Notamacropus eugenii: one gene and its partners. The protein of the gene in region 2 purifies or fractionates together with the protein of the main gene of each other region. This does not show direct contact. Links are inferred from orthologs where the notes say so. Each region holds a gene or a part of one and is shown on either strand. Other genes may lie near its edges. The genes, in order: ARID1B, BCL7A and PBRM1.

The links.
Region 1: the proteins of BCL7A (region 2) and ARID1B purify together in Homo sapiens (affinity purification with mass spectrometry; 4 studies listed by BioGRID and IntAct, counting the BioPlex papers as one, with this or other methods). This does not show direct contact. The link is inferred for Notamacropus eugenii from reciprocal best matches to the Homo sapiens genes BCL7A and ARID1B.
Region 3: the proteins of BCL7A (region 2) and PBRM1 purify together in Homo sapiens (affinity purification with mass spectrometry; 3 studies listed by BioGRID and IntAct, counting the BioPlex papers as one, with this or other methods). This does not show direct contact. The link is inferred for Notamacropus eugenii from reciprocal best matches to the Homo sapiens genes BCL7A and PBRM1.

Annotation. Positions count from the first base shown.
Region 1 is NC_092873.1:250,123,425-250,127,165, reverse strand, and holds the start of ARID1B (AT-rich interactive domain-containing protein 1B), read right to left. Parts: upstream 2,670-3,741; 5' UTR 2,418-2,669; intron 2,138-2,417; 5' UTR 2,020-2,137; coding exon 64-2,019; intron 1-63. UniProt on the Homo sapiens protein: Involved in transcriptional activation and repression of select genes by chromatin remodeling (alteration of DNA-nucleosome topology).
Region 2 is NC_092875.1:37,250,996-37,254,736, forward strand, and holds the start of BCL7A (B-cell CLL/lymphoma 7 protein family member A), read left to right. Parts: upstream 1-749; 5' UTR 750-889; coding exon 890-1,098; intron 1,099-3,741.
Region 3 is NC_092872.1:1,729,959-1,733,699, reverse strand, and holds the start of PBRM1 (protein polybromo-1), read right to left. Parts: upstream 2,511-3,741; 5' UTR 2,340-2,510; intron 420-2,339; 5' UTR 336-419; coding exon 288-335; intron 1-287. Other genes in the region: GNL3 (guanine nucleotide-binding protein-like 3), read left to right, coding at 2,795-2,807, 3,262-3,320, 3,484-3,621. UniProt on the Homo sapiens protein: Involved in transcriptional activation and repression of select genes by chromatin remodeling (alteration of DNA-nucleosome topology). Required for the stability of the SWI/SNF chromatin remodeling complex SWI/SNF-B (PBAF).

The DNA of each region.
Region 1 (3,741 bases), on a different chromosome or scaffold from region 2:
CGCCTACGGGTTGAGGGGTGTCTCGAGCCCTAGGAGAAGGCCCTGGTTTTTTCGAGTAGTTACCTGGGATCTGTTCATGGTCTGTCCAGTGTTTCCAGGGCTCATAGCTGGATGATTTCTTTGTTGTGCCGCTGCCCAGCCGGGGTTTGCAGTTCCATACTGGGAGCCCAGATCTTTGCCCATGCCCATGCCCGCCGCTGCCTGCTGGCTTCCTGGAGCTGCCCCCGCCGCTCCCTGCGCCTGGGACTGCTGCTGGCCTGGGGCATTAGGGTTGCCGCTGTAATCGGGGTAGCTGCTGCTGTAGCTCCTCATCATGGGGCTCGGGGAAGTCAGCAGCTGATTGAGGGTCGGCGTGGCCCCCGAAGGGTGCTGGTTCTGCCCGGCGAAGCGCTGAAAGCCTCCCGCGGCAGAACTGGCAGCGGCGGCGGCGGCGGCAGCCTTGCCCAGGCTAGCAGCCCCGCCGCCGCCGCCGCCGCCGCCTCCGCCGCCTCCTCCGCCGCCGCCGCCGCCTCCCGGGCCCATCATCATGCTGCTGCCCTGCTGCCGGGGGGAGCTCAGCACCCCGTAGCCCGAGGACGAGCCCCCATAGCCGCCGCCGCCGCCGCCTCCCGCTGCTGCTGCTGCTGCCGCCGCTGCGGCCGCCGCCGCCACTGCTCCTGCTCCCGCTCCTGCTCCTCCTCCTCCTCCTCCTACTCCACTACCTCCTCCTCCTCCTCCTCCTCCTCCTCCTCCTCCTCCTCCTCCTCCAGCACCGCCGCCGCCGCCGCCGCCACCTCCTCCTCCGCCTCCCGCGCCGGGCCGACCGTAGCCGGGATAATGGTTGTACTGGCTGTTGGGGTAGCCTTCGTGGGAGTTTTGCAAGGGGTCCATGCTGTTGGGGGGCCCGGCGGCGGCGACGGCCGGGTGCATCATCCCCATCCCGGGGCTTTGTTGTCCGCCATGTTGATCAAAGCAAGGCCCGGCTCGGCTGCCTGTGCCGCCGCTCGCAGGGGGAGCGCTGCCATAGTAATTATTAAACTCCGAGACCCCCACCGAGGCGGAGGGGCCGCCGCCGCCGCCGCTGCCGAGGCTACCATTGCCGCCGCCGCCGCCGCCGCTGCCGTTCCCGGTGCTTTGGGGCGGCTGCTGCTGCTGCTGCTGCTGCTGCTGTGGCTGCTGCTGCTGGTGCTGCTGCTGCGACGGCGGCGGCGGCGGCGGCTGCTGCTGCTGCGCGCCCAAAGCTCCCAGGCTGGGGTGCTCGTACCGGCCGCCCATCTGCTCCCCCATTTTGGTCGGGAGCTCTTCCTCCTCTCCCGCCTTGCTCAGCAGCTGCCGCGCTTGGGGCTCGGCCTGATTTCCCAAAACCCCGTCTTTGCCTCCTCCATGTTGCTGGGGCTCCATGTCCGGACTGGGCTGAGCAGCAGCCGCCGCCGCCGCCGCGACAGCAGCAGCAGCAGCAGCAGCGCCGCTGCCCCCCGCTCCGTGGCCGCTGCCCCCCGCTCCGTGGCCGCCGCCGCCGACCGCGACGAGGCTGTGGTTGTTGTTGGAGATGGGCTGCTGCTGCTGCTGCTGCTGCTGGAAGTGACTTAGCTGCTGCTGTAATGCGTGGTGGTGGTGGTGGAGGAGATGGTGAGGATGGTGGTGGTGGTGGTGGTGGTGGGCATGGTGGTGGTGCTGCTGGTGGTGGGGAGGTGCGGCGGGGGCATCGCCGACGTTTTTCAGTTTGTGGTTGGGGAGCAGCCCCGTCTCCATGGCCGGGGCGGACGAAGAGGAGGAGGCACCGGAGGAGGAGGAGGAGGAGGAGGAGAAGACCGCGGCGTTGCCACCTTCCTTGAGGGCCGCCTCGGACGAGCCGCCGCCGCCGCTGCTGCCGCCGCCGCCGCCGCTCTTCGTGTTATTATTACTGGCAGCCGCGGCGGCGGCGGCGGCGGCAGAGCTCGCGTTATTGGCCATGTTCAGTTCATTATGGTGGTGCAGGGGATGGGGAGCTACGTTATTCAAGCCGCCGCCGCCGGGCCCATCGCCGCCGACCCCTAGCATGGATCCCGGTCCCGCCGCTCCGGCTCCCCCCCGCGGGAGATCCTGGGTCAAGTGAGCCGGCCACGGACGCAGAGCGGGGCGCCCCGATCACTGTGCTCCGCACCCGCCGGGGCTGATGCTACTCGCGCGGCCATGATCATTGCAACATCGCGAGTCCAATGTGCCCCCCCGACCCCCCCCCACCCCCCCGAACAAAACAAAAATAAAACAAAAGAAAGGGGAGGGGGAGAGAGAGAGGGGAAGGGAGAAAACAAGGAAGACACTTTTTTAATAAACAGCCGCTCTCGGTCTCCAGTCCACATACCCCCAAAGAAAATAAAAACATCCCCCCTTTACCCTCCCCCTTCCCCCCCGCCCCAAGTCCTGGACCGAGATTAGAAACGATAATAATATCTTACGGTCTATGCCTGTTCTTGCTGTGGGATTTCATGTTGAAAGTTTTTAGCTGAGGTTTAAATGAAACTTTTTTTCTTTTCCTCTCTAACCCGGATATGGGTAAATACACGTCTGACTGAGCCTATCTGGCCCAGCATGGCATGAGAGAGAGCGGAGAGAGCCCGAACAACTATTATCCACTTCTCTCTGATTACCGCCGCGCACTCGCAAAACGCGGACTGGACTTCCCCCTCCCCCTCCGGCACGGTCCCCGGCGCTCCCCGCGGAGCTCCAGCTACCTTCTCCCGTCAGCTCGGGCGGCTCGAGCGGCGGCGCGCGGCGGAGACTCCCGGCGCAGGCACGGACGGGGCAGGCTTTCCGAGCGAGCTCCGCAGCCGCTCCTAACGCCACGGCGCGGGGCCGGAGGGGCCTGCACTCTCCCCTTCTGCATCTGTTTCCCTGCCAACTAGGCATTAATGTGTTTGTTTTCATGTTTAAAAGGAACGATACAAAGGTGGAAAACGGGTCTGACTGGCGGACAAAAGAAGGAGACGGATTGGGGAACAAAGTTGTCTGTCTGGCTCAAAGGTTACACCGCGCTGACTAAAAATAAAAATATTTGGGCAGTCGGGGGGGGGGGGGGAGCGTTAGCTATTTCAGAATTCATTATGTAATTTGCAGGCTGTTAACCCGTTATGCATTGGTCTGAAGTCAGGCAACATGATTGCTACAACTTTACTCAAGCTACGAAATAAGGTGGATTCGTGAATTTTCTGCAGGTTTGCAATGGGGTGCCGTATTTTTATTTTAGAAGAGCGTAGTATATACAGCTCCGTCCAAAACGGATAGTGCTGTGTATGCAGTAAGCGCTCAATAAATGTTTAATTACCAATGTCCACATCTGCCCCAAAGATTTTATTATTAACATAATCTTTGTTTATGGGTCATCTTAGTACATTTGTATGCAAAGCTATCAACAAAAAATAAAAGTTCCTTTCTTGTGCCCATGTGGGGACGTAGGCACACAAATACACGTGTAGGTTTATGTGCATTTCCATTTTACATGCATGTGTTTCCTTGTGTACGCATGTCACATCCGTGTTCCCCATGTGCATACGTATGTATGCATACATGCATGTGTTGTTTTCCGTATACACGGCTGTTTCCCTAGATATATGGGTTGTATGTGCACTCTTGTGTATATACACATGTATACATATATTATTTCCATAATACACATATTGCTGTTCACAAGAACAAACTCCCAAATCTGAAATAGTTTTAGAAAGAAATTTATTAGGTCGTATCTGTATTTCTCCTAGGCACTTTTTATCTCCACTCCTTAAA
Region 2 (3,741 bases):
CACCTAGGTTGGAGTTCCGGGCCCCAAAGCAAACCTGTCCAAACAGCCCCTTCCCCTTTGTCCGCTGCAAAGTCAGGGATCCCGGGGAAGGAGCCCGGGGCGCTAGCGCTTGGCCCCGCGGCTCGGTTCAGGGCTCAGGATTCTCAGGCCAGGTGAGGCAGCTACTTAAACAGGCAGGTAAAGGATCTGGGACGGGTGGCCAGGTCAGAGTTCCCCAGTCACGAAGACAACGCGGGGGAGGGAAGGGATTCGTCTTCTTTTCCTTTCTCGCCCTACTTTTTAGACAAAGGGGAGAAAACAGCTGTAACTTTTCCAGAATGAAGTTTGCAGCCTTCCGGCTGCGGACGTAGGGAGGCCCGCAGGAAACTTGCAGCAGCGCCCGGGGAGCGCAGGCCAGCCCGGGCCGGGAAGCGAGCGAGCCGGGCCCCCGCGGCCCCGGGACGGCCCCCGAGGCTCGGCAGCGGAGCCTGCCGCAGCGCTCGCTCGGGGCGCTTTGGGGGAAGGATGGCGCGGGGGGGGGTCGATCTGGAGGCGCAGAAGGGGCGGGGGCCCGTGGCAGGGCCGCCCGCGGGTCACCCCCCTTATGGATGGATGGATCTATTGGCGCCGCACGGGCCGCCTCCGGCCCGCGGCCGTGACCCCGCCGCCGCCGTCCGGGCCGTCCGTCCGGGCCGCCCGGGCCGCGGGCCCTGCTCGCTGCTGCCTCTGCCGCCCCGGCCCGGAGCTGCTGCGGCTGCCCCTCCTGCCGCCGCTGGGCGCCTGCGCACTGGGCCCGGAGCGAGCGGCGGCAGCAGGCTTTGTGTGTCTGTATGTGTGTGTGTGTGCGAGTGTGTGCGTGCGTGCGGGAGTGTGTGTATGTGTGCGAGTGTGTGAGCGAGTGTGTGGATGCATGCGTGTGTGTGTGTGTGTGTGTGTGTGTGTGCGTGCGAGCGAGTGCGCGGCCGGGGAGGGGAAAGCGAGCAGGGCCAGGGCGCGCTCCAGCAGCCTCGCTCGCCTAGCCAGCACCATGTCGGGCCGGTCGGTTCGAGCCGAGACCAGGAGCCGGGCCAAAGATGATATCAAGAGGGTCATGGCGGCCATCGAGAAAGTGCGCAAATGGTAAGGGGGGGCGGGCCCCCCCGGAGGGCCGGCGCGCGTGTGTGCGCCGGGGGGGCCCGGGCCGGGCCGGGCCGGGGAGGGGCGGTGGGAGGGGGCCGAGCCCGGGTCACCTGCCCAGGGGGCGCCCGCGCCGGAGCCGAGCCGAGCCGGAGCGGAGCCGAGCGGCTGCCCCAGGTGCGCTCGCGCCGCGGCTCGGGCTGCTCCCCGCCCCACCTGGCGCGGCGGCGGCGGCGGCGGCCCCGAGCCCGGCCGTGCGCGAGCCCGCAGCCCGCAGCCCGGAGCCGCTCCCCGGGGCGGAGGCAGCGGCGGCGGCGGCGGCGGCGGGGAGGGGAAACCCAGGCAGGACCCAGAAGCCATTTCGTTCTCCGCGAGTCACATGAAGGCTGCTTTTTGTGCGGCCGCCGCGGGGCCCGGGCGGGATGCGCCGCGCTGCCGGGCTCCATTGTGCCGCCGGGGGCTGGGGGGTGCGCCTCCCGCGGCCCCCGCCCCTCCCCCGCCGGCGCCCCGCGGTCTGCCGAGGCCGCCGAGCGAGCGGGAGCCGGGAGCCGCGCTGGGGCCGGGCCGACCCCCACCCCCTCCGGCCGGGAGCGAGGCTGGTCAGTTTCCTCGTAATTGACCCGGGCGCTGAGAAGCGTCTGCCGGGTCCGGCACCGAGCGCGCTGCTTCTGCCCCGGAAAAGAGGGGTGCTGTGAAACGGGGCGGGGTGTGAATACAGCCCAGCCGGCTCTTATTGGGGGGCAGCCGCCTCGTGCACGGAGATGAAGGCACTCGGCTTCTGATCGAAACTTGGCTTCTTGTTAACCTTGGGCTGGTTTGGCTCCAGCCGGGGGGGACGGTGGTCCGCTAGTGACTGGGGGCGCCCACCTTGTCCTAACGCCGGCGTGTGCGGGCTTGGCCGAGCCCACCTGGGTGGAACTCTAACCCGCGTGCCCCTCGTCTCAACTTTGCTTTCCCATGCACTTACCAGCCCCCTCCCCCTTGGCCTGTGGGCTGGGAGGGAGGAGTGTTCCCAGAAGTTCGCTGGACCGCTCTATAATGTTTCAGGATGTTTTGACCTATATATAAACACGAATGCGTACAACTTTAGGCTTGGCTGACAAGTTCAGGGCATAGTGTTGCTTTTTTTAAAGTAAAGTCCCCTCTCCTGTTAAGGTCGCACTGGAAGCAGGGCTCCCTCGTAGGTTGTCAGAAGTTAGCAGTTACCCTCTTGAGCCAAATCCGACCGGGATAAAAAAAAGAAAAAGGGGGAAAAAAATCAATAACGTCCACGTGCTCCCAGCCCTCCTATTGAAATGGGTTGCCTCCGAGTGGCTAGATGCCGGGACAATGGGCTGATTTGGCTTACCAGGGGACAAAGAATATTCAGAACCATGAGAAGCGGCTTGTGAGGCTCGGCTGTTCCAGTCCATTCTGACTCACAACCCTGGTGTTAAAGGGATTACCAAATTCCGGAAATGCATCCCTACAAAATGATTTTTAAAAATCCGCCAACCACCAAAAACCAAAAACTTATCCGAGAACCTTCTTCTGTTGTATGATGGGTTGGGTCAGATGGGAAAGTTTTCCCTTAAGAAAAGTGTACTTTCTCCGTGTCCCTTTATCTGTCACCAGGGACACCCGGAGCCCAGCACTTTTCTCACTGCATTCGAATCCAAACCTACAAATATAGAGTGGACACATTACTCTCCTGTTCTCTTGTCACCTCGCCTGTGCCCCCTACCCTCCCCATTCAGAGGAGGACCTTGTGGAGGGCCCCAGCGACCTGACAGCTGCTCCAGCTGGTTGCTTATGAGGCTCTCAGCTGCCCAGCAGGACTCCCCAGCTGCCTGCACCAGGGCAGATGGAGCCACCTCACTTCAACTCCGAGGGGCTGTTCCTTGTGCCCATCCTAGAATTCAGCCAGCTTGGGGAATGTTTATTTTCTTCTTTGACTTAATCCAGAGGTCAAAGCTAGAGCTCTTATCATCTCCTGGCCGGCCGATTGTCATTTTGGTTTTTTAGAATTTCTTTTTGGGATCTGATTTTGAGGCTGGCTCCCCACCTCCACCTTGCTTTTGTTACCAGATAAGATTTTTGGAGTGGGCCTCATTACTCTGGACCCTTTCCTCCCCGCAGTGACCATTGTTTTGAGTTTTTGAGTTGAGCTCTGAGGATGTGGGGGCTCTAGACAAGCAAGGTCCATAATTATATCTTAACTGGACTCAGGGCTGACAGGAAATTTGCAGCACCTTGGTACTTGGTACTGGTCCTTTCCGGAAGATCTGGTTTGGTGTATCCTTTGGCTTAAAAGTTCCACAGCAGCAACCCTTCAAAAAAGTTACCCTTCCACTGTATCCATCTCATCAAGGCTCTTCACTTCTAAAGGTGAGGCCTACCACCCCATTTCCTTCTATTGCAATAGCAAACCCATAGTGGCATTTCCACAATCCAAAAACCTCAATGGTTATACAACACTACTGAAAGATTCTGTGGGAGAAAAACAAAGGTGGTGCCTGCTTTGATGGACCAGCCAATGGAGAGGAAGAAGAAACCCAACCCCAGTGGGTTAGAGGTTAAGGGAGAGAAGAGCCCTGCGTCTCCAGAGAGGCAGAATTGTTCTGTGAAATGCTCTGGTAAAGATTAGAGGAGGTGGCACTGGCCCAG
Region 3 (3,741 bases), on a different chromosome or scaffold from region 2:
CTGGTTCCTGTATAAACAGGTCTACGGTTAGGTGTGGAATGTTTAAATGGGGTAAAAGGTATTTCATATAAATAGGTCAGGAATATGAAGTTTAAAAAAATCGGATAAACTTTCAATATATCATAAAAATAATGAAATACTCTTGATGCAATCCAAAAACAGCAATCCCAGGAGTCCGATGAAGAGAAGAAAGGGCTCCTTAAAGGGTCGGCCCAAAGCCAGCAGTGAAGGGCGAGCAGGGGAAGACAGGAGAAAGGAAGCGGGTGGGTAAAGGACCAGAGATTTACCAGATTTACCAGAGTACAACCAGCGCCTCGAAAAGCCAGTCTCCTCATTGTGTCTGAAGGCCAGGGCAAGCTAGTGGGAGAAGGCAGAGCTTTACAAGCGCTGAGTCGGCAGAGCTGTTACTAGGCTCAGAACTGAAAAAGAACAGACAGAAAAGGGAAAATAAAAAGGAAGGGTCAGAGGAAGTAAAAGGAGCGAGAACAGACAGCAAGCACTGAAGCAGAACTGCTGAAGAGGGATGCCACGGAGAGCTGCACAAAGGAACACTAGTTAACACCTAGGGAACCGATTCCTGCCAAAAGGTTTCTTCACAGAGTAACGAGAAATCTTCAGTCACCGAGAGGTGCTTGGATCAACTTCGTTTCTTTAACCAACTGTCCGGCTACGGTTTTTAGGACATAACTAGGTAAGTCTATAGAAAATATGACTTGAGGCCTAAGTTTTAAAATACGGGGGGAAAGCCACTTGAGGACAACCTCCAAACTTCTACTTTCTGAGAGTACTTTCTGTAGGCACCTTCAAAAACCAGGAGTGTCCACGAAAAAGTACGTTTCTTGTTTAAAAAGTGGCTATTTACTTATGCAGCTTAAGAAAATGTGGAACCCTTCGCGGGTGCTGTTCCCACGGTGCCAAAGGGCAGTTTCTGGAGCTCGGTTCTGGACGTCCAAAAAGCCCGGGCCGCGGCCAGGAACTTGGGGGCTAAGAGGGAAGCGGGGTGCCGCCTGCCTGAGGGCCGGGCACCCCGGGGCGGGGGCCGGGGCGGGGGCAGGGGCAGGGGGCAGCGAGCCCGGGGCGGGGGGCAGGGGGCAGGGGGCAGGGGCCGGGGCAGCGAGCCCGGGGCGGGGGCAGCGAGCCCGGGGCGGGGGCCGGGGCCCGGAGCAGCGAGCCCGGGGCGGGGGGCAGGGGGCAGGGGCCCGGGGCAGCGAGCCCGGGGCGGGGGCCGGAGCCCGGGGCAGAGAGCCCGGGGCGGCCCAGCAGCCTGGGCACTCTCGCACTCGCCTGCACCGCTCCCACCACCGCAGCCCCCTCAGAGGCAGCAGCTCTACTTTAGACCCCTCAGAGCCCCTCCGCACACACCGCGCACCCCTCCGCACACAAGCACTTTCTTCACAAAACGAACCTCAAGATCGCGCCGACACCCTGCGGAGTCAGCCCGCGGGATTCCCAAGGGGACCCACGCAAGACAACCTGCCCCCCGGGGGCCCAGGCCCCGGTGCAGCGCGGGGCACCAAGCTGGACCGGGACGAGGCCTGGACCCCGCAGATGGAGGCCCCTCACCGTCCCGCACCTCTCGAGTCCCCCCGTCCCCCCGCAGCGCCCCTCCTTCCAACATCTTTCACCAGACCCCGCCGCGCGGGAAGCTCTGGGTTCAAATCCCGGGCGCCCTCCCGGACGCTCCCAGCACGGAGCCGGCCCTTCCCCTTAAAGCATTCTGGGGAGAGGACGGAGCAGCTCATTTCTGGGGATGCCGCAGGAGGGTCCCCCGCCGGGAAGCAGAGCTGGGGGGACACGGGACGCGGGAGGCGCCCCCCGCCCAGACCCCAGCCCGGCCCAGCCGCTCAGCAGGGGGGAGTCTCCGCCGCCGGTGGCGGGCTCTTTGGAACTCTCAACTTTCGCACCATTTGAGCTGCCTCGGTCCGGCCGGGTCCGGGGGGGCGGGGGGCTCCCCAGCCCCGGGATCCCCCCGGTGACATCCGGAGCGCCGGGGCCCCGAGGGCCCGGCCGGGCGGGACTCGTCCCCATTTCACAGAACCAGAAGCTGGAGGCGCCGGAGCCCGAGAGGGGGGCGTCGGGAAGAGTTAGGAAACTCAGGAATCTCGGGGGAAGGCGGGAAGGGGGCCCTCCCGAAGAGGGGGACCCCGAACCCGGCGGGGGTGGGGGAGGGGGGCCCTGTCCTCGGCGGGGCGCCTCGCAGGGCCGGGGGAGCGGGCGGCGGCGGGCGGCCCCCCGGCTTCGGCCGGGCTCCCCGTCCCCGGGGCCGCCACACAAAGGGGCCCGTCCGGGCGGCCGCGGCCTCCTCGGCGGCCGCCGCTTCCCCGGAGCCCCGGCCTTACCCAGCTGCTCCGCCGCCTGCAGCCCCTGCCGCGGTCCCCGACCGCCGGCGCCGCGCCCCGTCCCGTGGCCGCCACGGCTAGGCTGGCGCTGCCGCTGCTCGGCCCGCTCCTGCTCTCAGACCCTCTCGGCTCGGCTCCGACTCCCTCCTGGTGCCGCCGCCGCCGCCGCCGCAAAGCCAGCCGCACGGCCGCCAAGCGAGACCGGCCCCGCGCGACCGTGCGCGTGCGCGCGCCCTGGGGTGAGGGGGCAGGGCCGCGCCGGAGGGAGCGAAGGGCGCGGGGGCGCGAGCGCGAGCCCGGCCGGGTTCTGGCGCGGGGCGGGGCGGGCGGGCGGGGCGGACGCTGGGGCACGGGCGCGCTTTACGGCAGCGTCTGCACGTCGTGACGGCGCGGCGCCTCAGTCTGCACGTGGTGTGCGAGCCGGCCGGACGCGGAGCGGCTTCCTCCTCAGCGCCATGAAGCGGCCTAGTGAGTGTCCGTGGTCCGGGCGGGCGGCCTGCGGGGCCCGGGGCGGCCGGGGCGGGAGCGGCCTGCGAGGCGGGGTCGGGCGGCCTGCGGGGCGGGGGCGGCCTGGGCTGAGCTGAGCCGAGCCGAGCCGAGCCTCGGGGCCCCGGAGCGCTCGTCCCCGGCCGGCGGGCCTGGCGGGCGGGCTCCGGCGCTGGGCCGAGGCGCCCCTTGGGTTCGCCCTTCCCCCTTCTCGGTGGGTTTTCGGGCCCTGCGGCGTGGTCGGCCCGCCAGGCCGGGCAGCGCCCGCATCGAGCCACCCCCGCGCCACGCTCTCGTCTGCGGGCGCGGAGGGGCCGAAAGGCAGGGAAGTGAACGGTCCGGGCCGCGCGGTCAGGTCACGCCTTGGGCCTTGCCCCGGAGGTACGAGGGAGCACCGGCCCGGTTCTGACCCGGCTCTGAATTGTCTTGTTCCCAGAATTAAGAAAAGCGAGTAAGCGCATGACGTGCCGTAAGCGGTTTAAGATCCAGAGAAAGGTGGGTGTCGTGGTCCGCTCCGGGGGGCACTGATCACCCTGGGACGTGCCCGGCGCGGGGCGGTCCGGCCCGGTCTGGCCCGGTCCGGGTCGTTAAGTTGCTTTCGCCGAGCAGGCGGGACCTCGGGAATTTCCGAGCCCATCCCAACGACTTGTTGAAACAGGTGCGGGAGCATCACCGCAAAGCGCGGAAGGCGGCCCGGAAAGGGGGTGCCCGAAGGCCCAGGAAGGACCCCGGCGTGCCCGGCAGCGCCCCGTTCAAGGAGGCCCTGCTCCGCGAGGCTGCGCGCCGGAAGCAGCAGGTGAGGCGGGGGCGGGGGTGGGGGCAGGGGCAGGTGAGGCTGAGGCGGGGGGGGGGGGGGGGGGGGGGGGGGGCAGGTGAGGCGGGGGCGGGGGCAGGTGAGGCGGGGGCGGGGGCAGGT